Linked DNA regions of Drosophila melanogaster. The protein of the gene in region 1 purifies or fractionates together with the protein of each later gene. This does not show direct contact. Each region holds a gene or a part of one and is shown in the gene's direction. Other genes may lie near its edges.

Region 1 (8,351 bases):
ATCAACCACGCCGAAGATTTATGGGCGATATTATGAGTAGTGACCCAAATATACCAACCAGAAATCCATAGTTGTTTGTAAACTTTATGCTACAGATTAGACTAATTTCAATACGGGGCACGCGTGTCAAAGATTTATGAATAATAACACAGAAGCACAATCGCCTGCAAGCGAAATCTTATTATGTTACACATTTTCCATTTTTGGAGGAATTTCATTAGCACCTTTGCGTTTGCGTAAACAATTTCCGAGTTTTAAAGGCGCCAACCGAAAGGCTGTAAACAAAACATTTTGTTTTGTCTAATTAAAGCTCCCAAAAAATTGATAAACATCGAGAAAGAGTTCTATATTATAAAAGCTGTCTTTAGCGCCGAAGGGAAAAACACTCCAACGCATATTTTTATACGAATATTTTAAATAATAAATTTATTAATGCGCCATAGCAAAACAAGTTTCGTGCGATCCAAAAATGTATGAATGGTAATTCCAATAAAAGCACACATGTACGGCAAATATTAATGAATAAATTCAGCATTTCGCCAATTGGTGTGCTAATTTGCATTGGAGCCAAGTAACAGAAAATTATAAATTATAAGCAATGGGAATTAATGAGGGGATTTGGCACTTACCTGATCTTGACAAAAGTATCCAAATCCGATGATGCCGGCGATGGCCAGGAAGAGGCAAAACACAATGATTGTTCGGATTTTGGAGCGCGGTTCCATTTTCTTGATTTCATAAACACCACTGGGCAGCAATAAGGCAAAATCACTATCGACTTGAACAGATACGTTCTTATGCATATCCCCGGGCATGTTCCATTCCCTGGCCTCCCTCGAAAATCGCACTAAAGGTCCAACAAGGGTCCACCCGAGTGGAGTCCAAGCGGGTATCCGTATCGGCCTAGCGCAACGAGAACCAGACGCGAATCGGAGGCGAGGCCAACTCAATCATACTTCAGTCGCTGCCCGATAAGAACTCGAAAAATGGGAACACCTTCGCCCATTGCACTTGGCGCGGAAATGGGTTTTCCTTGTCTCTCGGCTTTCAGTGCCTGCAAATGGAGTAAGAGTGAAAAACGGTTAGAAACCTATTAGTTTTGGGAGCACTACAAAAGCAACACCGTTTCCGATTAGTTACCACTTGACCATGCCGATAAAGCGGTCTGTCAAATTGTCTAGCCCTTATCTAGCCACTTACTTAGTAGCTGAAAGCTCTTCAGGGGAAAATCAAAAATAGTTTTTAAGAACCTAAATCTATGGCAGACTGATAAGAAGTTCACAATTAAAACGTACATACATAGTTAATTGGACTTTCTATTTTTTTGTTAGGGTCAAAAACTGATAAGCAGGCGGTGAAGTTGATTTATCGTTTAATCTGACCCTATTTTAATTGCAAATCTATTAGTAAGTATTCAAGACGGGCGTGAATAACAAACGTTTGTGCAATAACAAATTTATCTTTATTTGTGTGGGAAATCTTAAATTAAATTTCCACGCGCGAATGCGATCTGCAAATGTATAGCGTAACGATAAAATACATAAATCAACCAATAATGACGCAATAGTGGAAAGTGAATGGCGGAGCCGAAAGCAATGCATTTAGTATACCCTTAATCAATTAAAAATACGTTTAAATACGTTTATTATTTAAAGCAAAAAACCTACATCCGTACATGATAATACGTGCAATTACTCAAATAATAACTTATTATAGTTAAAAAATAGTTTGTACTTATTTCATTTAATATTTAAATTATCTAGTGATTCTTTATTTATAAGAACATATTGTAGTTCAGTTATAAAAATAGTTATCAATAATATGGTAAATATAATGAATGAACAGCCTTTGTTGTATGGGTGATTATTATCACAAGTCGCTTTATCTGGCTTCGATATTGTTTATATGTGATAAACCCGATTGGAAAATGCGTAACATATTAGGGTTTGAATGATATTGACTACATGCGAGTAAGTTGCATTTAGGTAGGGTATTTAAATGTACAAACACCCAACTAAAATAACTGGCGATCGGCAGTCGGAGTGACGCCCAAGCATAACTGGTGCCTTATATTTATGTAGGCGCTTTTTACTTCACGATCGGTGCTTCTGTAGCGATCACAATTATTGTAAACAAATGGAAAAGTTGCTTATTGGCAAATTGGACTAACAGAGAGACAAGAAAAAAAAGGCAGATGTGGCGAAACATGTTGCCAGGCAACAATAACAAAAAAGCATGCATGCTGTGCACACATGGCCGTTTAATTCACTTCTCTGTACTCTAAACTATACTTAAACCATGCTAATTGCCTACCCAAATTATCAGGTTTTTCGAGGCAGTGACGTCAGGGCAAGGAGTATAATTATAATAATAGAATCAAACGATTTAGCAACATTGCAGTAAAAAAAAACAGAAGCAAAGGGGAGCAACAAAAACAGAGAGAGGGCAAAATAAGAGAGAGGACAACCAGACAGAGCGAGATGCCAAACAACAGCTGTTCTTCTTGCCAGATGCGAAATGGGCAATTTAATGAAATTTATCTAGATTTCACTCACTTTTCACTTGCCAAACGTCGTGTTTGTGCACTTTTCACAATTGTCGCGGCGTCACACGTTTATTTATTTACATTTCTCTGCGTTTCAGGCGCTCGCACGCTCAATTAGCGCGCTTTCCGCTTTGTGCCACACATTCTGTGCCAGCCACAAAAAAGCCCGCAATTCGCACTTTCATGTGTTTTCGGCTATTTCTGCGATCGTTTTTCCTGCACTTGCACTGCTCAATAGCTAATGTTTAGTTAATTGACACTTTCTAAGCGTTTTGCGTATATTTTTTACGAATTATTTTGGCAAAACGACGCGGTACCAGCGTCAACGTCCGCATTCTTCAAAATCGGCGAATGAACTGAACAAAACGAACTGCGCAAGTTGGGCAATAGGAACAGCTGACCGCGCTGCCAGACTGCCGAACGGAAACTCGCTGCGAGAGTCTGGCAGCACTTGCAACCATCGATATAAACTATTGGTAACGAATATTTAAAGAATTAACTTTATAGTTCCATTGAAAATACATACATAAAACAACTATAATTATGATACCTAACATAAAACATCGTAATATCTTATTTATAGTTATCTTTTGTATGCAATATTCAATTTTAAGTTAATTAGATAAACACCAAACGTTTTTTTATTTGTGAAAATAGAAAAAGAATTCAATAGAAACAAGTTTTCAAGGCAATCTGCATATTCTTAAATCCAACTTTATGGGCACTTTTGAATATTCATTTATTTTGCAGCCCTAGCAATCGCTGAGCGATAACCATAAGTTGACTATCGATAGCAGCAGAGCGATATGCAAAACAAACGAAAAAAGTAAAAGAGCGGTGTAAAGCAGACAACATAGTTTACATTTTTTGCAACAAGTTTTTCAACTTAAAGCCAACTCCCATCGTCCAATGGAGGTGGACCAGATTCCCCTGGCCGACGTGGTCTTCGTCATCGAGGGCAGCGCCATCAACGGAGCCTACATCAACGAACTAAAGACCAACTACATCCTGCCGACTTTGGAGCACTTCACCACTGGCTCCATCGACGAGCGGGAATACCTGATTGCGGAGCGCTTTGCCACTCTGTACGGTATTGTGGTCTACCGTACAGCGGCCAATCTGCTGGAGCCAGTTTGTTCAACCTATGGTCCCTTTCTGCAGCCCCAAAAAGTGATGGAGACGATCGAAAGATTGCCACTAGTGGGAGGCGGAATGGAGTCCTGTGCCCACATGGCCGAAGGATTTGCTGCGGCCCACGGCTGTTTTGATGACATCAGCGAAAGGCGCCAGTTGCTCGATCAGACCAGCGTCCAGAGGCACTGCATTCTCATCTGCAACAGTCCGCCGTACCAGATGCCCACAACGGAGTCGTGGAAGTATCCGGGCAAATCATGTGAGCAGCTGGCGGCGCTCTTCAACGAGCGCAAAATCAATCTCTCCATTATTGCGCCACGCAAGATGCCGGTGTTGTTCAAACTTTTCATGAAGGCCGACGGAGATCAGCCCATTACGAGCAAAAACTATGCCAAGAACATAAGACACCTAGTGCTTCTAAAGGGATACAGCCTCAAGGAGAGAGCACCTAGTCCCAACAGCATGGCGGCCCAAATGGCTGCACCCAATGCGGCACAGGCTACAGTGCAGCAGCAACAACAACAGCAACAAAATCAAGCTGGTCAGCAACAACAAGGGCAGGGCATGCCCATGGACACCACTCCAGCCCAGCAGCAGCAACAGCAACAACAACAGCAGCAGCAACAGCAACAACAAGGCAATCCTCAGCAGCAGGTCATGAACATGAACACGATGCAGCAACAGCAGCCCGGTCCAAATCCCCCAGCGGGCTTACTCAATCCACAGCAGCAGCAGCAACTATTGCAGCAGCAGCAGCAGAATCAATTCGTTTCCAATCAAATGCAGAATCAGAACTTCCAGCAAAACGTGGGACCCGGCCAAAACCGCTGGATGTATCCCAACCAGCCTGGTCAGGCGCGTCCGCCCTTCATGCAGGGAGCAGGCAATGTGGGCGGTGTGGGCCAAGGCGGCGGCATGCAACAGAATCCAAATTCTGCTCTGATATCGCGCATTAATGCGCCGCCGCCGAACCAAACTGTGACCTCGCTGCAGCAGCAGCAACAGCAGCAGGCGCAGCAGCAGCAGCAGCAGCAACAACAGGCCCAACAGCAGCAGCAACAAAGGATGCAGATGCTGAGCCAGCAGCAGATGCTAAATCACCAGCAGTTGCAGCAGCAACAGCAACTGGCCCAGCAACAGCAACAGCAGCAGCAAGGACAGCAACAGCAGCAGGTAAATCCCAATGCAGGAAACAATATGATGCCGGCTAGCAATGCCGGCAACATGTCTAATCCGCAGCAGCAGCAACAACAAGTAGGACAACAGTCGAATCCGCAGCAGCAGGGCAATCCGCAGCAGCAACAGCAGGGAAATTCGCAGCAGGAGCAGGCCTCCTTGAGGGAAAAGATATGGACCGGAGTGCTGGAGTGGTCAGAGAAGCCAAAGTCCGATCAACAGAAGATTCCCCATACACTCCAGTGTACCGTGTGCACCAACATCAAAGATGGCGAGCCCGAGATCAAGGCTGAGAACTGGCCGCCCAAGCTGTTGATGCAGCTAATGCCCAAGCACCTAGTTGGCAATATTGGTGGGCAGTTTCTCAAGGACTCGAAAATGGTTGTTTTTCGACCCACTCCAGGAGAGGCACTCGATTCGCTGGCCAAGATGATGACCTCCGGCTATGCTGGCTGCGTCCACTTCTCCTCCATCCCCAACTCACCAGCCTGTGACCTTAAGGTTCTCATCCTACTCTACACGCCCGATCGCAACGCTTTTCTGGGCTTCATTCCCAATAATCAGGCAATGTTTGTGGAACGTCTGCGCAAAGTCATACAGCAAAAGCAGCACGGCAACATGCAACAGCAGCAGCAACAGCAGCAAATGATGCAGCAGCAAGGCAAGTCGCCCATGGAGCTGCAGCAGCAACAGCAACAACAACAACAGCAGCAACAGATGCAACAGGATAACTCGCAGCAGCAACACTACAACCAGTTCCAACTCAATATGCAGATGGGTGGTGGAGGTCCTGGCGGCGGACCTGGTCCCGGTCCCGGCGGCATGCCCATGCAACAGAATCAAATGCAGATGAACATGATGCAGCAACAGCGAATGCCACTGGGCGTAGGTGTTGGCGTGGGTGTTGGTCCCGGTGGCGTGCCCAATCCAAACCTCCAGCAGCAGTTGCAACAAGTGGCGCCAAACGTCGCCGCAATGCAGCAGCAGCAGGCGCAACAGCAGCAGCAGCGCATGGTGCGTCCCATGATGAGCAACAACAACCCGGGGCTGCGCCAGCTCTTGCAGCACCAGACCACGCCAGGCAATCAGTTCCGGCCGCAAATGGGTGGCCAGAATCCCAATCAAATGGGAGCAGGCGGTCCAATGGTCGGCAATCGCAACTTTGACGACGGAAACTATGAGTTCATGTAGGCTACTTAAGAGTATCGTATAAAAAACCAGAATTAAGACAGTAAAATATTTTATAAAATCCAACTGCAAGTCTTTTTTGGGGTAGTGGCAAAATCTATTTCCCAAAATCGAAATATTAATTTCTCCATTTTCATAACATTTCGTTTATTTAATTAGTAAGAATCAAGGGAAATCCGAATTTGCACAAGACTTATATTAATCACAGAACATAATCTCCGAGAAAGTCCACTAGTTTGCTCCACCGCCGCCGCCCCCCGAGGATGCGGAACTTGCACTTCCAGCGCTAGCGGCAAACACCTTGCGAAGATTCTGCAAGATGCTGAACAGAACCGTTCCCGCGCTGCCCAACGTTTCCAGAACATCGAATCCGGTGCTGTCGATGGCTGTCTCCCGATCCTCCTCCGTTTCGATGGCCGGGGAGCTGATGTTCCCGCCATTGTGGTGAGTTTCGTGGACGCCATGGTGTCCAATCAGCCGATGAGTATTGCTCTTCACATGGGAGTCGTTCACGCCGCCACCGCCAACTGTGTTTATCAGGTGCTTCACCGGCTCCAGGACCGGAATATTTAGCTTAATGCGATGCCATGCATCCGCAGTTTCGGTGAAGCCCTCATGCTGCTCGCCAGTGGCCTTCATCTCATCATCCAGCTGGTTTCGCTCGCTGACCGGATCGTCGTCCGTCTCCAGGGACAGCTCCAGACTCATGTTTCCCTTACCAGGCAGTTGCAACAAACTGCCGAAGAGCTGTTGCAGATGCGCCGAGTTGGTGGCCTCCGCCTCATTCTGCTCGAAATCGAACTCTTCACGTACTCCCGACTTGGGCTTCTGGTTCACAAAGCTGGTCACATGCAGCATTCCATTCTTGGTGCCAGAATCACTGGAGTTGGTGGGCTTGGCGGACGTCGTCGTCGTCGTCGTCGTCAGCAGTAGCAGCCACAAAAACTGCAGATACATTCGGAGAAATGGAATCTATAATTGGCGCTTAATGACCGGCTGCACGTACGTTAATGAATATTGAGTATGACCGGTAATAAGGCTTTCTATATTCAAATCCCAACGCGCACGCGTCACTGGACCTTGAATTTGGTTGAATAAGATATGGCTGCTTTACAAATCAAAGATGAGGTTTCTAAGTTATGATATGTGCCCATCTATACACTTAGAGAAAAAACCGTTCTCAAAGATCTCGATTTGAAAATTTTGATCTCAAAATTCTGCCAAGATTGAATTATGCTTCGATAGAGATCGATCCATTCTTAGATTACAATTGACTTTGCTCTCATTTTGTCAGTCTTTCCATTACGTTCCTTTTACACAATCATAAACCTGATACTTCTTCCCTCTGAAAATATTAAAATTGAGATCGTTTTCGTCTCGAAATCAAGAAGAAATCTTCTCATGATTTATGATAAATGCCACTGAGTGACGTTCTTAATTTTTCTGGGTGTATGGTGGTTGCTTCAAAAAGTCATAGGGTCCGATCGGAAGAGGGTCTGATTATATTCTTACTAATAGCCAGAGATTATAGTTTAAAGTTTTAAGCAAAGCTTTGTGTGGTTATACCTTGTATACGAAGGTGATCCCTAATGTGCAACCAAACTCTATACTCTATTCATGACCTACACCATTTTCTTGAATAGTTAGCTCATGAGTCACTTATTTGTTTAAAAAAAACCCACATTATGAATTTAGACATCGCCAAGTTCCCTAATTATCGGCAATGCCAAGTGTTTGCTTACATTAAAAAACACAATAAGACATATGGAACTACTAAGTGTGGAGCTGGCCAATCGCAACATTGTCAATGGAATCACGGATCTAGCTCTTGGCTAGAAATCGAAACTAAAACCGAACCGAAACAGAAACTGAAACCGCTGCCAGCAAAATCAGAAATCGAACTGAGGCACCAATTGATTGAGTGGGTGACCAGGTGACTAGTGAATCAATTAATATGCAGCAACGGTAGGGGCAATTGTGGTACCTAAATTTAATTCAAAATGCATTTAGAGGCCCCCAAAAAAGTCGGTTCTTCGAGTTTTTGGAGTGACAGCATTTATGGGATTATATCTGCAGCAAATAGGTTGCAGTAATCTTCCTTATTTTCAAGGACTTGCCAAACGAATCGATTGTGGAATCTTATAGAAATTTCGGGAAAGCAGTAGGCTAGCGAATTTTAGTTCATAATCTCGTTTGGCTTACTGGCCCAGTCTGAAAACATAGCCCAGTGCTAGTACACAACCTTTTGTAAACCTACAAAAAAAATTCCACCAAAATTCAAAATTCAAAGTTTTTAGTTTTTGGCCTT
Region 2 (8,215 bases), on another chromosome or scaffold:
TTTGACGGCGGCAGTAATCATCCGCCCGGATTGGGCATGAGTTCCGGCGCAGAGAAGCGCAGTGAGCGGAACAAGCGGTCGGACACCGCCAAGCGGCACGTTCTCTCCCGGCAACGACCCATCGAGCAGGAGGAGGCACGGGATCACAGTCGCAGTCCGCTGGGACACAGGCGGTGAGTTCAAGGTGTCCAATAGCTCCTCTAGCTGGCTAATAACATATACCATTGCTTACAGGAACTCTACAATGTCGGACTCCTCGTATAGCGGCCGCTGGACGGCTCGCTGTGCCTCCATGGCCAGTCGAACATCCAGTATCGAGTCTCGGCGTGTTCAAGTAGATCTTCATAGTCCCGAAGTGATGCCCAAATCCATTCTCCGTTCGCCCAAGCGCTACAGCTCGGGTCCATCGGCCACGCCTTCCGTGGAGAAGGAGTTTCGGTATGTCCATGTTGTACCCCTCCAAATCAAGTTCCCAAATAGATTTTAACTCGGTTTTCCTTGCAGGAGTCAGTTATCTGTATGCTCGGAGCCACCGCCACCGGTGCGCCAGCTGTCGGGCCAATCCAGCATGGAGCCAGCCGTTCCCGAGGAGAGTCTGGATCAGTCGGAGGAGCAGGAGGAGACGACACAGCCCAAGGCGTCCTACGAGGAGATCACCGAACTGCAGCACCACACGAGCAGCTTGCCGCCGAAAAAGGCTCGTCCGGGATTCCTGCCCCTCGCGCGCAGCGAGCAGGAGGAGGATCCGAGGCCAGTGGCCAATCCGCTATACAGGAGCAATAGTTCCCGCCAGTTCTACAGGCCCAAGAAAGGTGTTCCAAACGAGCGGGATGATTCCGTTTTCTACATACGGTCCATGGAAAGGGGATTGGCTGAAAACGGTGGGTGTGGCAGTGCGGATGAGCAGAGGTACGATTCACTGAGGGTCATCAACGAGAGGAGGACCACTTTGCTGAAAGCCGACTCCCAGGGCTCCTTGGGATCTGCGGAGCGAAAGTTGAGCAGCTTCTCCCTCAAAATGCCGGAGATCACGGAGCGGGAGAACTCGATTGAGATCGAAATAGATGCGGATGAGTTGCATCCAAGTACCCCGCCTTCTCCACCCCCGCCTCCGACACAGCCGGGCAATTCCCACACAACTGAATCAATCCAGGATCAGGATCCCTAGGATCGAATGGATACACCCACTTCTTAGCGTTTAACCAGCAGCCATCGACAATTACTTTAGCAACTCGATTGATGTTTGTATATGTATTTTTGTGCGTGTGCGTGTCGTTTATTTTTATAACCCCTAGATCGTATCTAGATAAGTGTTAAACGAGTATATATATATATATATATATATATATACCAGCAATTATCTCTGTGTTGCCTCGGGCCTAAGCAATCAACTAACGAACTAACTTCAACGACGTCTATTAACTTGATAAACTGATGTTATTAAAAATATAACTTCAGTTGCGATCGAAATAATTATAGCATGAAACGTAGAAGGATTGGTGTGCATTTTTTTTAGATTTCCTCCAATAGTCTCAGATTTATTTTCAGACATATTTTCCAACTGATTAAGGTTGTTTTTAGTTCATATTTCAAAGAGCTGAAAAATCAAACGATCTTTTTGAATCAAAATAAAGCCTATTCTTGGAAGCGCAGTTGGTTGGAAAACACATAGAGATATTATTTTGATCGCAGCTGTCGTCACTAGTCTTCCTATTGTTAGAATATGAGATATATCACGTTATTACGATCCCATATCTGGGGCCGAAATGTCCCGTTGGGTGTACCGTTGTTATCAATACTATTTATCGGTTAATGTTAATGCTAATCTCTACGAGGATGTGTACTCACAACGATCTAAATACGAGGGCGTGGCCAAATAAATGCCAGACTTGTGCATACCCTGTAAAAAGTACAATCAGCTTATAGTAAAGACTGATTAGGCAAATTGATTTACAAAATTGGTCAATGGCGAATGGAAAACTAGTCAATGAAAAGCAATCGGAACACGGATTAAGTTCGATGCACATATATAATTAGTTGTACGCTCTCAGTGTTAATCCCCACATTACAGCATTATATGTACCTATACGATTATATATCTGAGTGTTTATTTGTAATCCATGCAATTACAATGTTTCTCGTTCCATAATAGATGTTGAAAATCCCACAGCAATCCGAAAATTCAAAATGCCCGAGTTGGTTTAAATGGAAGGCCGAACACGAATCTCTGTTGATGTGCAGCGAATTTTTGTATAATTGTTCATTGCATGTTTAATATTGCATAAATAAAAACAAACAATGTGTGTCTAATAATAGTCTTGGTGTTTTGTATTGTCGAATACGTCCGAAATAGGTTTTAATAACATAGTCAAGCATTCAAATTACCCGCCAATTTTCCACAGCGTTGCCATCGGTTGCAGGCGGGTGGCCACCCTGGCCATCGATAGCACGCGCCGACGATTATCGCACTGTCATCGAATTGCGACAACCCTGGGAGCAGGAAGGTTTTTCGGCCGAAAAATAGAGAACAATAAAACGTTTGTGGCCCTCAGCAATATAGGGATCGCCGAGTGCCGTGTTAACCGGTGACCTCTCGCCCGTGCCCCGAGACCTGTGACCCCGCGCAACTGCCCGCCTCAATGTTAATTTGTGGCAGCAAAAGCAGCAGAATTTGGAGCAGCAGCGTGTAAAAAGTTGCGGAATTATCGTGGCACCGCGGAGAAAGAGAGAGCAGGAGAGAGATTGCCGCACGCATAAAATATGATCAAATTGCAAAATTGATTTCAATTGGCCACTCAACAAAAGGTACGTTCGATACACCCGCCCCGGCGCCCACGAAATTAGCACAATAATAACACCAAACACCTGGCTCCTCCATTTACATAAAACTCGGAAGAAGTAAACCTGGCAACTAGTAGGGAATCGTGGACTTTTTGCTTCCAGCGAACGTTATTTTCCCATTTCTTCCATTTGCCCTGCCTCTCCGTGTGTGCATGTGTGCGTGTGTGTGAGTGCGTGCATGTGCTGGTGTATGTGTGTTGTGTTCGGCAGAGATGAGTAATTTAAAACTCCCAAAGAACAGCAATGAATGTCTGTCAAATGCAGGTAGTTTTCAAGATGAACGACCAGCTTCCATGCCGAAGTCATTTCACTTTCCATGACCAACTTCTAATCTAGAAAAACCCATTAAAAGAGCCCTTTGAACCTGTTACATTCGTGACCGATATTTACGTGAGCCGGCAAATCGTCGCAATTACTCATCTCTAGCGGGCGCCGTGTGGCACCAAAAAATCGTCCAGAAAATGTCCAGAAATGCAATGGGCAGCAGTTAGTTTTGTTTGATAAATATGCATTTATAATGCGTCTACATTTGAGATAATTCCCGTGTAAGCCTTATTTAAATTATGCGTCTCTTTTGCTTTGTTTATTTGATTTTCTCATTACACCGTCTCATCACAGCTGTGCGGCCTTGCCAGATCGCTTTTCTGGCTGCGGCACGCGGAGTGGCGTGAATTGAAAATCGCATTTAATTAGAATTTAACCTGCGTCGGGTAAAATATAATGAATTTGTGCGCTCCAGCTGCATAAGCTAGTGTTAGAATTGAAGTTACTTTATTGATGTGATATATTTAAACGTGCGGCTCAAGATTTGTAGAATCAGCCATAGTATTCAACAGTTGGTCTTGTCAATAGAAATTGTTTTGAATCATTACCCTCATGCCCCCATACTTTATATTAATAAATTTAATTAGGGGACTCTAATAAATGGTGTATTCTTCTTTCGACTGCGTGCATAATTAATATTGATTGCCCAGTCTTATATAATTATCTCCTTAATGTACTAATTAATCAATTGCTATGCGCTCTCTTTCCGATCAGCAAAAACCAATTTCAATGTTTGGCGCCTGCTGCGACTCTTGAGACTCGTCTAAATCCGCAAGTACATTCAACCGGAATTTGAGCCAAGTTTCTAACCTTTGGCCTCAAAGCCATGGCATCCACGTCGTCGTCGGCTTCCACGACGGCGGGATCCTCCGGCGCGGCAGGCGGAGGAGCAGCCACGCCCATCTCAACGCCCTCGACGCCCCAGCCGTCTGGCGTGAGCAGCGGACCCGGCAATAATGGCAACAACAACAACAACCATCACAACAACACCCTGGTCTCACCATCCGGGAACAACAACTTGATGACGCCCGTCCAGGCATTCACTCCAACCGGACAGCCAGTGTACAATCCACCCGTCTATATGTCCGCCCACGGAGGACACCCGCACGCCGGAGCCCACTACCCGGCCATGATCCCCGCTCCGATGCCCAGCAATCACGTCTATGTGAACAACGTCACTGCCAATGTGAACCTGCATGGCTGGCCGCACGGTGTTCCGGCTTATATGCCACCCGGAGGTCAGCATCACTACATTGGACACGGCGACATGCCCCAGGAGCAGGTGGGTGAAACAGAACAGGATCTATATACATCTGTTCGATAATTTCGCTAATTACTAAGCATTGTTACTAGCTAGCACCTACATTACTGACCTTCTTACTTGTTATTCCACACAGGGCAACACGGTGATGCCGCACCTGCAGCCTGTGCCCATTAATTTGGCGCCCCAGGGCGGATCTCCGAATCCCCATGGTCCTAGAATGGGTGGCGGACGGATGCGCGAACGAGGTCGTCCCCGTGGCGGTGGACCGCGACGCAATGACTACCATGGGCCACGTCACCTCCAGCAGCAGCAACTGATCACCCTTCCGCCGCAGCAGCAACTGCCACCGCCGGACGGAGCCAATCCCGGGCTGCAGCTTCAGCCGGATCAGATTGGTCAGCAGTTGGCGCCGCCGGAGGCGCACATGCAGCACTTACAGCAGTACTACGCGGCGCCACCAACCTACGCCTACGGGCCATATCCCTCTCCCTACTTCACACCCCAACATGCCAATGTGCAGCCTCCCCCCAATGCCACTGCTGCCCAACAGGCAACTGGAACGCCGCTCTTCATCTCCGGACCGCTGATGTATAATCCTGCGTGGTTCAACCACGGTGGGTACATCTACCCCATGATGCATCCGGCTGAGTACCAGTATGTACCCGAAGACGCTGGCCAGCCGGGAGTGGATGAACGTGGAGCTCAGCCGGACGGCGGAATGACCCAGATCTGGCACCAGGGCCCCATGTACGCAGAGGACTTCGAAGCGCTACAGCAGCAGCAACAACAGCAACAGGTGGCTGTGCATCCCAATGGAGGTGCTGTCAGTGTAGCCGATGAGCTCAACCACAATAGCTCATCCCTGCCCTCCTCGGAGACGTCGAGCATGATCAGTCCAAACTATCCCATCTACGATCCACAGATGCACGAAATGCAGCACCAAATGGGCGTGATGCAGATATTCGACGATGGTCAGATGGCCGCCCTGCAGCCAATCCATCCAGGAGCGGGTCCGCTACCGCAGGTAAGTGGGCCTGGCATACCGTGAAGCTAAAGACAATGGCAATACTAAACATTTCTTATCGTTAATAGTACGAGGACGAGCTAGCCGAGTGCGGAGCACCGCCACCAGGCCCTATTCCGGTGGCCTGGACTGCTGCCATGCCCCTCCCTCCGGATGCAGTCCAGCCAGCTCTGCTGCCGCCACCGCCGCATCACATTTTGCAGCAAACGTCGCCCCTGTTAATCGAACAGCCAGCCCAGTTGGTTCAGGCGCAACCTCCGCAGCCACCAACACCCACTCCCCAACAGCAGCAGCAACAACAACATCAGGAGCAAACGGGTGAGTGCTAGTGCTCGGTATTGATTAGTGATTCATTTGGGAATTGGAATTCATAATGCAAGCTGAGTTTCACTTTGTCTAATTTCCCATTTTCCATTCCGAACGTTCATAATCTTGCATCATTCGATGTTGCTCGATAAGGAATAATCAATCATTATGAATTGTATAAAAACTAGAACTTTGCACAGACCAATTGAAAAATGTGTATATTGGCTGAGTCATGAGTATTTGAATAATCTCCTCGTTGTGGGTCAATGACTTTTCACTATCTTACTATTATGAGTTTTTGTTGTCAACTAATTCTTAACTTCAGTCGATTTAGTTGTACATATGTGGTGTGTTCCTCTCTCAATATATATCACCATATATTTTATCACAACTATAAAGTAACTCTGCATTTGTCCTGTTATTGTTTTGGAGCAAGCTCAGCGATAAAGGCAGCGAGATCATTTTGTGGACTTTTAACACGACTTTCGCACAGAGTATCTGCGTTTCGTGTTACTTTACATCTATTGAAAGGCAGTTTTTCTATGTTGTACGAGTATATTGGAATTCGTCATGGCGTGCCTTCGATAGCGTCGCCTGGTCCCGTGTTCATATGCAGTTTTTTGCTTGCTTTGCTTTTCCACGCTTTCATTAACTATATTCTCTTCAGTTGCCTTACACTCTTCTCAGGTGTCAAATGACATAAACGTATTTACGTATGTGTGCACATTTTGCCATAGTTTGTGGGCCTTAATTATTCTGAATGCTTGTTGCCAGGCCTACCTTTGTTTTCGGTTGCCCTTTTGCTTTGGGCTGGGCTTTCATCTATCGTCGTGTAGTCGCCAACAGGTGTTGAACTTGTTGACCACCCATCCACCCACTGAATCATCCACAACCCACTCTCTAATCAGCAGCACAAGTCGCTTCCGTCCAGTTCTTTGTTATTATTATTTTGTTTGCTCGTTTCTTGTGTGCATTGTTCACGCTTATCAATCGAATGGGCGGACAAATCCGAGTGAAAATACCGGGTTGGGACGTCTCCCACTCCCAATCGTAATTGAGTGTTTTATGTGCCCATGCGGGGGATTCATCTAAACCTGTTGGCCTGGCGTATTATATTTGCCTGTTGTCAAGCCTAATTACCAAACAAAAGGCCAAGTGGACAGAGAAGATGTAGGGTAATCTATTCGGTTCTATTTGACCACTGTAGATTCTGTAGGTTCCATTTCAGTTAAAGAATTGTATGAAATTTGATCGATTGGCTACTAATCCCTTCCAGCGGCCAGTTTTCTTGGGCTGCGGTTGAAACAGAATCGCATATAGGTGCAGGTATTACTTCATTGATTATTAACACAGTAGATTGCAAGATTTTGATTGATTTATGGTTATTCTAGAGATATTTAATTGTTTTTTTTTTTAATTGCCTCTCGTGTTTGAATGCACATGGAATGGGAATTGGGAATCTCTCACGAAATGGAGGAGGTCTTGCCAACTGATTGGGTTCCAGTTGTTTTCATAACCGTATCTGTATCTACGTTGATTCAACGAGCACCGTCTAGTCGAGAGGTTTTTCTTTTATGGCTGTTTTCGAAGCACTTGGCTTTGCAGACGGCTTTCATATGGCGATATCGCCAAGTGTTTGTCCACTGACTAGAGAATGATACACACTACAGTATTCCTCTGGTCGGCCACAATTAGTGAAGCCATAACTCATCGTGGCAAATTGATTAGGCTAATCATTTGGGTCGAGGGTTTTACGAGTAAGCTTGTTATGATCTGATTTTCCGCGACATCGAAGGGGTTTCACGTTCTTTGATAAATGCATTAACTTAAGTCCAAGGCAAACTTTTGATCGATGTCTTTTAGAGCGGCACACGCTCCCCGGGGAGATTATAATTGTGCTAGAGCTTTCACGAGCTACCTCTTGATAGAAGTACTTACGCTTATTCAAATAGAGCGCAGTCCATTGAGTCCATGTCTGTCGGTTTCCCCGAACGTTGTGAAGGTCACGAGGGAAAAACTTACTGAAGAAAAGTTCTAATGAACTCATTTCTGATAAGCCATTATCCATATACCCCAGATACACCCACAAAAACGCATTGGTTTCGACGGTTTTTAAAATTTATGGCAATATCTTTTATTACTATTCTGGCTGCTTTTCTCATTCCTTCTCAACACTTATTGTTCTAAATGTTACATTGATGTGTTTCCCACTTGCTCACTGTTTGTTGCCCCGTTCTTATGCGTAAAACAGATTTAGAATATTGTTTGTGGTACATATTATACTGTTTAATTAGTTTAGCCGCGTGAACAATTTCGTTTGTATAGAACTGCACTTGCCGTATTGCTTATGGTTCGTAGCTACTAGGCTATATGTTTGGATAGTTAAAAACGGACATACACAAGCCTTAAAAATCATTTACTCTTGGTTTTTCTGTTGCTGGACTTTAGTTTAGTAA
Region 3 (8,235 bases), on another chromosome or scaffold:
CATTTGGCCCAATGCATACGACCACACACACACACACACACACATAGATGTTCTCCAAGCTTACACACACACCCACACATACACACATACAGACACGCACAGCAGTGCAGAAGCACGCAGCCCACACGCAGACAAACTTTCCATATTTCCAGGCGAGTTTGAAATATTTGCTTTGGCTTCGCTTGGCCTCTGTGTATTTGGCAGGCCATTCTACCACCCCACCCCCCACCCCCCTTTCTGACCCACCCACTTTTCACCTCTTCAGCCGCCCGCTGTGGCAAGAGTCCTATATGCCACAAGCCAACCATCCCCACCCCATGCCACCCCACCCCTTTCCTCTCTCTTTGGCTCTTTACCGCCGCTAGTTTTTCAGCCTCTGCTGATAATTGCACTGCTTTCTCCAGCTAATACCATACACCCCAACAAATTAATTACCTTGAAACGAATAAATAACAGCTGATGTTTGCATTTCGTTTGCATATATGCAACATTATCAGTTGTTCATGAATGAAGAATATCGAAAATTTGTTTTCATTTAAACAAGACATGGGAATTTTGCTAAGTGCAGTGCCCTAGTGTTCTGCTGCAGCTCTGCCGCTGCTCTGCCCTCACTTTAGTTGTTGTTTAGTTAGCTCTCCACTCAGATGTTGCACTTGATGTTTGGCTACAAGTGCAAGCGAGACGAAAAACAATTCCAGTGGCAGTTGCCTGGTTGGTAGCAGAAAGGATGAGAGAGCCCTCCTCCTTTGAAACAGCCATCCTATAATCGTTAACCCAAAAGTGAGCTGCGAATTTCGGCGAGAGCCAACCAAACCCACACCCTACCCCGCCGCCACCCGCCTTGGACAACATTTGAAATGATGGTGTGCGGGCGGTTTTTGGCGGTAGGGTTCGTTTGGGCCAAGAGCATGATGATGATGGAGGGGTGAGGTAGTGGATTTGGGTGGGCAAGAGAGGAAGGATTTGGTGGTGGAGACCAGCACCAGCTGGTCGCACCAGCCACTGCCAATGATGATGGCTCAAACCAATCAAACTACAGAATGCCTTAAACATCAGCATCAACTATACGCCCCGTTTGCCAGAGATTTTTGAACGCACCAAGGAAAACCAACTAGAAAACCGACTAAACATGACTGGATTAGGCGCAGGGTCGGGAAATGTATGGTTTCTACCTGTTTCGATAGTTTCCAACGAATCTAGTATGAGTTATCATACGTTCGATTCAAATATGTTACAATTTGATATTTTAGTTCTGCCGTTTTTTTTTTGTTAATTTTTTTTTAACATCGAAAAAGAAAAAAAAAGAAGCTGGCTGGGTGTCAGAAAAAAGCTTTTCAAGCTTGCGCTTGGTGGATAAAAATCAAGAAAAATCGCCAGCGAATCTGAGTGTACAATCGTAATCGAAAAATAGAAGTTGTGTCCAAAACGGACGGCAAAAAAAGGCGAAGGCGAAACAAAATGAAGAGAAGAGAAAGAGGCAGCATGAACTTCCAATGAAATTTCGTATGACTTGCGTTCATTGTTGTTATTATAGCTGCTGTATAGCTGTATATAGTGCCCCGATATATATAGACAGACGCCAATACATCGTTCATATAAGTACGTATATATGTATGTATGTATGTATATGTATGTATCTATACATGCATACTCTTACACACGACTAAGTATGTCACAATTAGTCTGACTGATAAATATTCACGAGTTGCTCTTTGATTGAAATTTCAACTGAAACCAGAAAAGCTGCGAATCGCATTGGAATTCGCATTAAATGCCCGACATGACAGATAATTGAAAATGCTGTCATTCAAATGCAATGAAAAATTAACAACCCTAATTAACCGCCCTAAAAACCGAGTTCTTTGTGTTGCCAACTAAAAATCGATGTACATATGTATGTATGTATGTATTTACATGTGGATATGGGAATATTCCTACCATATTATTTCGCTCAGTATTTTCGGGTTTTGCTTCTCAGTTTGCTCTTTATTTGCCTTAGCGCTGCATTGTTTGTTCTAATTAAATCTTATCTAAACAATTTTAAGCACAAATTGTTTCAATGGCAATAAAAAGTAGAAAAAATCACAAAAGCTCGGCGAGAGCTCACAGCAAAGTCGAGGGCAATGTTCTAAAGCAAAGGCTATATAATAAGCGCACCTCGATAGATTTTCCCATACCCACTATACATACATACATATATTGTACATTTGGTTACAAAATAAAATAAAAAAAAAAGCAAACTGCAAGATAAGGGAAGGGGAGAATCCGAGGGGCACACAAAAATGTGAGAATCAAAATCAATAACTCAATAGGCATTCGAAAAGGAAAACAGAAATAAGCGCAAAGCGAAGCAGATTCGTTCAATAAATAATGCGTATACGCTTCTATATACATATGTATGTTACATATACATACATACATTTTATATATATGTATGCCGATTTACAGGGAAACAAACGGGTTGTGTTTAACCCACAGCCAAAAGGCAATCGAAGGCGGCTATCCTGACTTCTGGCTTCTCAGTCTTGGCTTTTGCTGGCTGGCTCTCCGTTCGAATCGACTGGACTATGACAGTCAGCCGATAAAGATGATCGGGCCTAAGAGTCGGTCAAATAATGTCGGTGGTTGGCAGGGGTGGGGTGTGTACCCTGAGTCGAGTTGAGTCACCAACTACACTACATGCCCCATGCTCTAAACATGCGCTCATCCCCAGAATCGTAATTTGTGCCTCATTTATACACACAATTTCAATGACAAATCGATTGAGGTGCTCAGTTTGCCGATTTCTGGTTTATATTTATAAAACCGATTGGTAATCTACGCGGAATGGCAAATACATACATACATACATACATACATACGTTTAGAAGGAAACACAAAATCGCAAATAGCGCTAATCAAGTTGGAATTGCAACAAACCCCATAATTGAATAAGATTTGTATTGTACATACATATATTTTACAAATGTATATTTATGTTTTTTTCTATGCCTTTTTGGTAGTACCTTGCTGCTACCTTGTTGGAAATATATGGGGAATGTGGCTCCGAGAATACACAATCTCTGGTGTATTCCCCACTTTTTCAGCTGCTTCCTCTGCATTCGTTATCTTTCTCTTTGTGTACATAATATACTTGCTTTCACATACATATGTATGTCCATACATATATGTTTGTATATGTACGTAACACATTTTCCCGTTGATAAGAATAATGAAGTTAACTTATAGAGCCATTCCGTTTCCGATTCAATCCGCAGTTCGATTCTTCGCTTTTTCATCACTTAATTCGCGCTTTTTTATTACAATAAATTCCATTTTTTTTTATCAATTTGTATAAATAAATGTCCTACGGATTTAGAAAAACCAGTTCTGCTGGCTTAAGCGATGATTTTATAATGTTTTTCAAGAGCGATGAATTATGAAACTGCAGGGATAGTATAGGATGTATGTATGTATGAATGTATTATGCCCCATCTTTTCGATACCTATTTATTTAGATCTCGCTCTTTTCTCTGCCCTCTTGAATACCTCTAAAAATAAACTAATTTCCCCTGCAGTTTCGTTTTAATTTTATTTTTTTTTAAGTCCTAAACAATTCCATTCTGCTAAGAATTGAAATTTTTGTCAAGATTTCTCACCTATGAATGTACACATCATGGGTATTGGATGTATTCATGAATGCTAGAAAAAAAATGTAACAAAATGGGGAATATTATTCATTCCAACAGATGCGGTAATGTTTCTGTTCTTGCTCCCTTGCCTTGTTTTTTATTTACTTTTTTTTTGGCAATTTTCGGTTTGTTTTGCTTTGCCGGGTATATTTATACATTTGCGATAAACAAAATATGTATATTCACGACGACAATGTCGATTACCTCATATGAAATATTTGACTCGGCCAGCAAATAAGAAGCGTATTTAACAATATGACACGCCCCTCGCCCGTCGTCTGGCCCAAACGCCCAATCCCAATAATATCGGTGACTTATGCTTAACTTTGGAAGCCTAATAATTCAACACAAGTCCATTTAGAATTAATTTTCGACATTTATTTTTTGAACTTTGACATTGTAATGTTTTCACTGAGGATTTGATAGGGTATTCAACTTTTCGTCTTTTGCTTTCAATCCGTCATTCGTGAGTTTTTATTTTGTGCGAATTTTCTGTTCTGTCGCCTTTTATTATTATTACTACAGTTTTATATATTTTTTTGTGTGAAGCGTACTCTGCCGACGTCGCTGCCACTGCCAGCGCTGTCGCTTTGACGATTTGCGCTTTGCGTTGCGCTTACTCACAATCAAATCTCACGCCGCATTTTTAGTCTCAATAATAACTGAAACGAAAAACACGCGCAGCCGAAACGAAGCGCAAACCAAAGAGTAAAGCGAAAGAAGCAAGGAAGGCAAACGGCGAACAAAAACGCAAAACGAAAACGACGACACGTCGTCAAACGTCAGTTGCCTTTTATTTATTTTATTCCGCCACTCTTTCCTCTGTGTCCGTTCATTTTCTTTTGTTCAATTTCTTTATTTGCGAGTGTTCGTATGTGTATGAATGTGTGTGCTGATTGTTTTTGCATTTCGCGTTTGCTCAAATAGTAAATTAAACTGTTTTTAAGTTATCCACAAAAAAAGGGTCGGGGAGGGTGTGAAAAATAGAGGAGACGAGAGCAACTCGTTCTTCGTCACTCGCTGCGTTTTTTGTTGTCGTGGGTCGCCGTCTTTTCCACTGACTGGGTCGCTCTCTTTCTCTCTTATCCCCTTCTCACACCTCATTTGCCTGTTCTTGTTATAGTTGTATTTGTTGGTTCAGCATAATTAGACGACTCTGCGAGAGTAACAGTGCTGTCAGTTCAACGGTTTTCCCCGCCAGATCTAATTGTAAGACAAATTAAATTTACCATTAGAATTTACATACTTTTATTGGCGTCGAAATGAAAAAAATATTAGGTCGATTTTGTTATACAAACCGATATAATTGTTATTTCTATATAAGATATGAGCTTCCAAATCCATCCATATTTTTTAAATATTTATTCCAAATGAAGCACATAAAATTATATTGAGCAACACTATTGCTCTCCACTTTTCATTGTGCTGTTTTGTTTTTGGCCCTCTTTGCCTCTCCCACATGAGGTTCTCTATGTTTTTTTCGCCATTGTTGTGTTTCTACATTCGCGGCATGTTAATTTGTTGATTCTCGTTCTCAATGCTTTTTTGTAGGTTTCTTTTGTTTTATTTGTCATACTCGCCGTTTGTTATCAAAAGGGAAACAACAAAAGGCCAACGACAAGCAAAGGCAAACAGATAAACGTCGAAAGCTTGTCGCATATTTAAGGTATTTGCCTGGTTTCATCTCATAAAGCTTTTAAACATTCTAACTAGTTATGCTTTCCATTCGTTCCGTCTTCTTTTTTCTAATTGATTACGCGATTTTTATAGAATTTCTGATCGGAAATGCCGAATTAAAGTCTAATTAGGGGGGTATGCAGAAAATGTAGAAAATGTATTTATCAAATAATTTTTCTTATCTTTTTCGGTTGACCCAGATGATTGAAATCGTATAAAATTCTTTTAAATCTTGACTTTTAACGTGTTCGATAACATATCCCTTCATATGTTTGTTCGTGATTTTTTCAATCTTTTTTCACCTCGTCTTCTTTATCTATCAGTGTCTCTGTTTTGCTCACTTTGCTTTGCTATTTTTCTGATTGTGCGACAACTGCTTAACAATTCACAATTATGTACATACATACATATGTATGTACGTATAGATCTACAGTAAATCCTGGTATTGTATTCATTGTGTCGCCCCAAATTTTATGAATTTTTTGTAACATCAAAGACAACACAAATAGTAGATCTAGAAACTATCTACAAGATCAAAAAGATCTTTTTTGGAATTGTGTTTATTTCTTTTAGATAGATTAAATAACTCGCGTTTGTTTTGAGGAGACTTTACTGTCGTTTCGTGTGCACATCTGACTATGTAGTGTCCGTGTGTATTTGTTGATTGACTCAACTTGACGACGGAGACACACGCGCGCCCAATTCACAAAACTTTTGTTTTATACACCGAATCTTTTATTTTCTGTTTTCTTATTTGTTATGCTGCGTGATTACGTCAGCTGGCATTTGGTTTTTAATTTTCGAAGGCCTGGGAAAGCATATGCACATACAAACACACAAACACTCTCTAACTAACTCACTCATATGCAAAAAAAAAGGAGAAAACAGGTACATAAAAGTGTGTAGAAAAATTTAATCATTTTGCTCTGGCACAGTTGTTGTTGACTTGTTTCTGGTGAAAGTTTCACAAATCAAATGGAGGAAAAATCAGCGACGAATCGCAAAAAAGTGCAACACAACTCATCCATTAAAAAGTAAAAATCGCTGAAAAATCCTAAAGAAAATAAAAAAAAGGAAGAAACCAGGGAAAATTGCAGATTTGAGTTCATTGATTTTCTTTTGCTTGTGAAAATCCGAAATATGCAAAAATGAGTGTTTTACCTATGACCAATACATACGTATGTATGTACACCATCTACACCAATGACTTTATTTGTGTATGTGCAAATTTAATTTATCTTCTCCCTTAATATATCCCAAAACGAATGAAAAAAATAGACAGAGAATGTATAAAAGTGCCCACAGCCCCGCATTATTTCTCTGTCTCGTTTTTTTTTTGTCCCCCTCTCTGTCTTGCTTCATCACCTGTCATTGGCAAGGCAACCGTTAGCTTGCATTTTGTCGGCGAAGTAACGGCACAAGTATTGCCTTCTCTCTTTCATTTACAATATTGGCGAAAATACTACAAAATGATTCGATATTTTTTTTTATTAAAAAGTGTCATCATTTTCAGTTTTATTGTTCTTATTTATTTCTCCTAAAAACGTCGTAAAGTTTATGTACATACATGACCATACATATCTATTAATCCATAAACAATAGTTTTGTTGTGGCTATAATTGTGATTAAACAGCACTGAAACAAATTAATACGAGGGTTTTATTTGTTGCGGTTGCTTTCGATTACGAAATGTACATACATGTGTATGTATGTGTGTATGTGTATATGCGTTTTGTATGTGTTAACATTTGCATTCTTAACGTGAGCTGCGCAAGTTGAACGAAATAATAAATGCAGCCATCAAAAAATAAAAAGTCAAACGAAGCTAATAGATTTGGATATAAAAATTATTTAAACTACATATGTATGTGAAATGATTTACAGATATACCCTGAATAAAATGCTGTGGATAAGGGGATTAAAAAAATATGTAATTGCATTGCAGTTAGCGAATGTGCAAGCTTTCTAACGCCGAAGTCAGCGTGGGCAGCGCAGTCAGCGGTCTTGCCAACAAGAACAAGCGCGAAACATCGCGAAGCAACGAGAGCATGGCAGAGCCGCAGAGCAGCAGCGAGAGGAGCACCGCTGAGAGCAGAGAGCAGAACGACATTTCGGCTGCAGACGGCGGTGGTGTCGGTGTCGTTTTGGTTTTGTCGGCGGTTGCTAAACACAATTTAAGTTCACTCGGTTAGCAGACATTACACACTGCCTGCTCTCATACATATTTACGCACTTGTATATACATGCAATGTGCCTGTGTGTGCGCAAGAAACCAGAAAAAACGAAAAGTACAACATTCGTTGAGTCGCGTTCGGCTTAATTTTTTTTTGTGTTACCGTGTGTGTGTTTGTGCTTTGGATTTGCCAATTTTAGCCGACTGGCTCTCAGTGTCGAACTTAAACTTAAAGAGCGAGCAACGTGACGTGTCGCCCAGTGTCGCTTAAAATTCGCGCACACAACTTCCTACTACAAAAAAACGAAAGAAAGAAGGAGAAAAAACGTTAAAGGCGAGACTTGTTTTTTTTTCTTGTGCATCTCTGTGTGTTTGTGCATGTGTGAAGAGAAACAAAGAGAGGGAGATAGACGGAGAGTCGCAAAGCGAGAGAGCTAGAGCAGCTGATTCAGCCGGCAAGTGTCAGCTGTTTCGTGCCTGAGCGAGATAGAGCTAGTTTAGCGAGGCGAACATGTTATGTCTTGTACGCCGTCTCCTCTTTGCGGTTCATTCGCTCTAGCAATGCTCCAGCAACAACAGCAACAACTGGAAATAAGAGAAGCACAGCAAAGGCAACAACAGAAATCGCGTTTACAACTAAATAATTATTATAAAGATATACCCCGAAATCAACATCATATGCAAAACTGTCAGGATTTTCTACAAGTTCAGCAA

What was found.
Region 2: the proteins of MED25 (region 1) and Usp10 purify together in Drosophila melanogaster (affinity purification with mass spectrometry, with the first as the bait; one large-scale study listed by BioGRID). This does not show direct contact.
Region 3: the proteins of MED25 (region 1) and Tlk purify together in Drosophila melanogaster (affinity purification with mass spectrometry, with the first as the bait; one large-scale study listed by BioGRID). This does not show direct contact.

Annotation. Positions count from the first base shown.
Region 1 is NT_033777.3:20,005,606-20,013,956, forward strand, and holds MED25 (mediator complex subunit 25), read left to right. Parts: upstream 1-3,341; 5' UTR 3,342-3,454; coding exon 3,455-6,046; 3' UTR 6,047-6,107; downstream 6,108-8,351. Other genes in the region: Hs6st (heparan sulfate 6-O-sulfotransferase), read right to left, coding at 630-815; CG17190 (uncharacterized protein), read right to left, coding at 6,275-6,988, 7,786-7,845.
Region 2 is NT_037436.4:869,429-877,643, forward strand, and holds the start of Usp10 (ubiquitin specific protease 10), read left to right. Parts: upstream 1-3,482; 5' UTR 3,483-3,551; intron 3,552-3,879; 5' UTR 3,880-3,991; coding exon 3,992-4,447; intron 4,448-4,562; coding exon 4,563-5,453; intron 5,454-5,521; coding exon 5,522-5,771; intron 5,772-7,862; exon of another isoform or gene 7,863-8,215. Other genes in the region: CG12502 (uncharacterized protein), read left to right, coding at 1-173, 235-438, 505-1,168.
Region 3 is NC_004354.4:3,768,583-3,776,817, forward strand, and holds the start of Tlk (Tousled-like kinase), read left to right. Parts: upstream 1-4,057; 5' UTR 4,058-4,452; intron 4,453-7,232; 5' UTR 7,233-8,037; coding exon 8,038-8,235.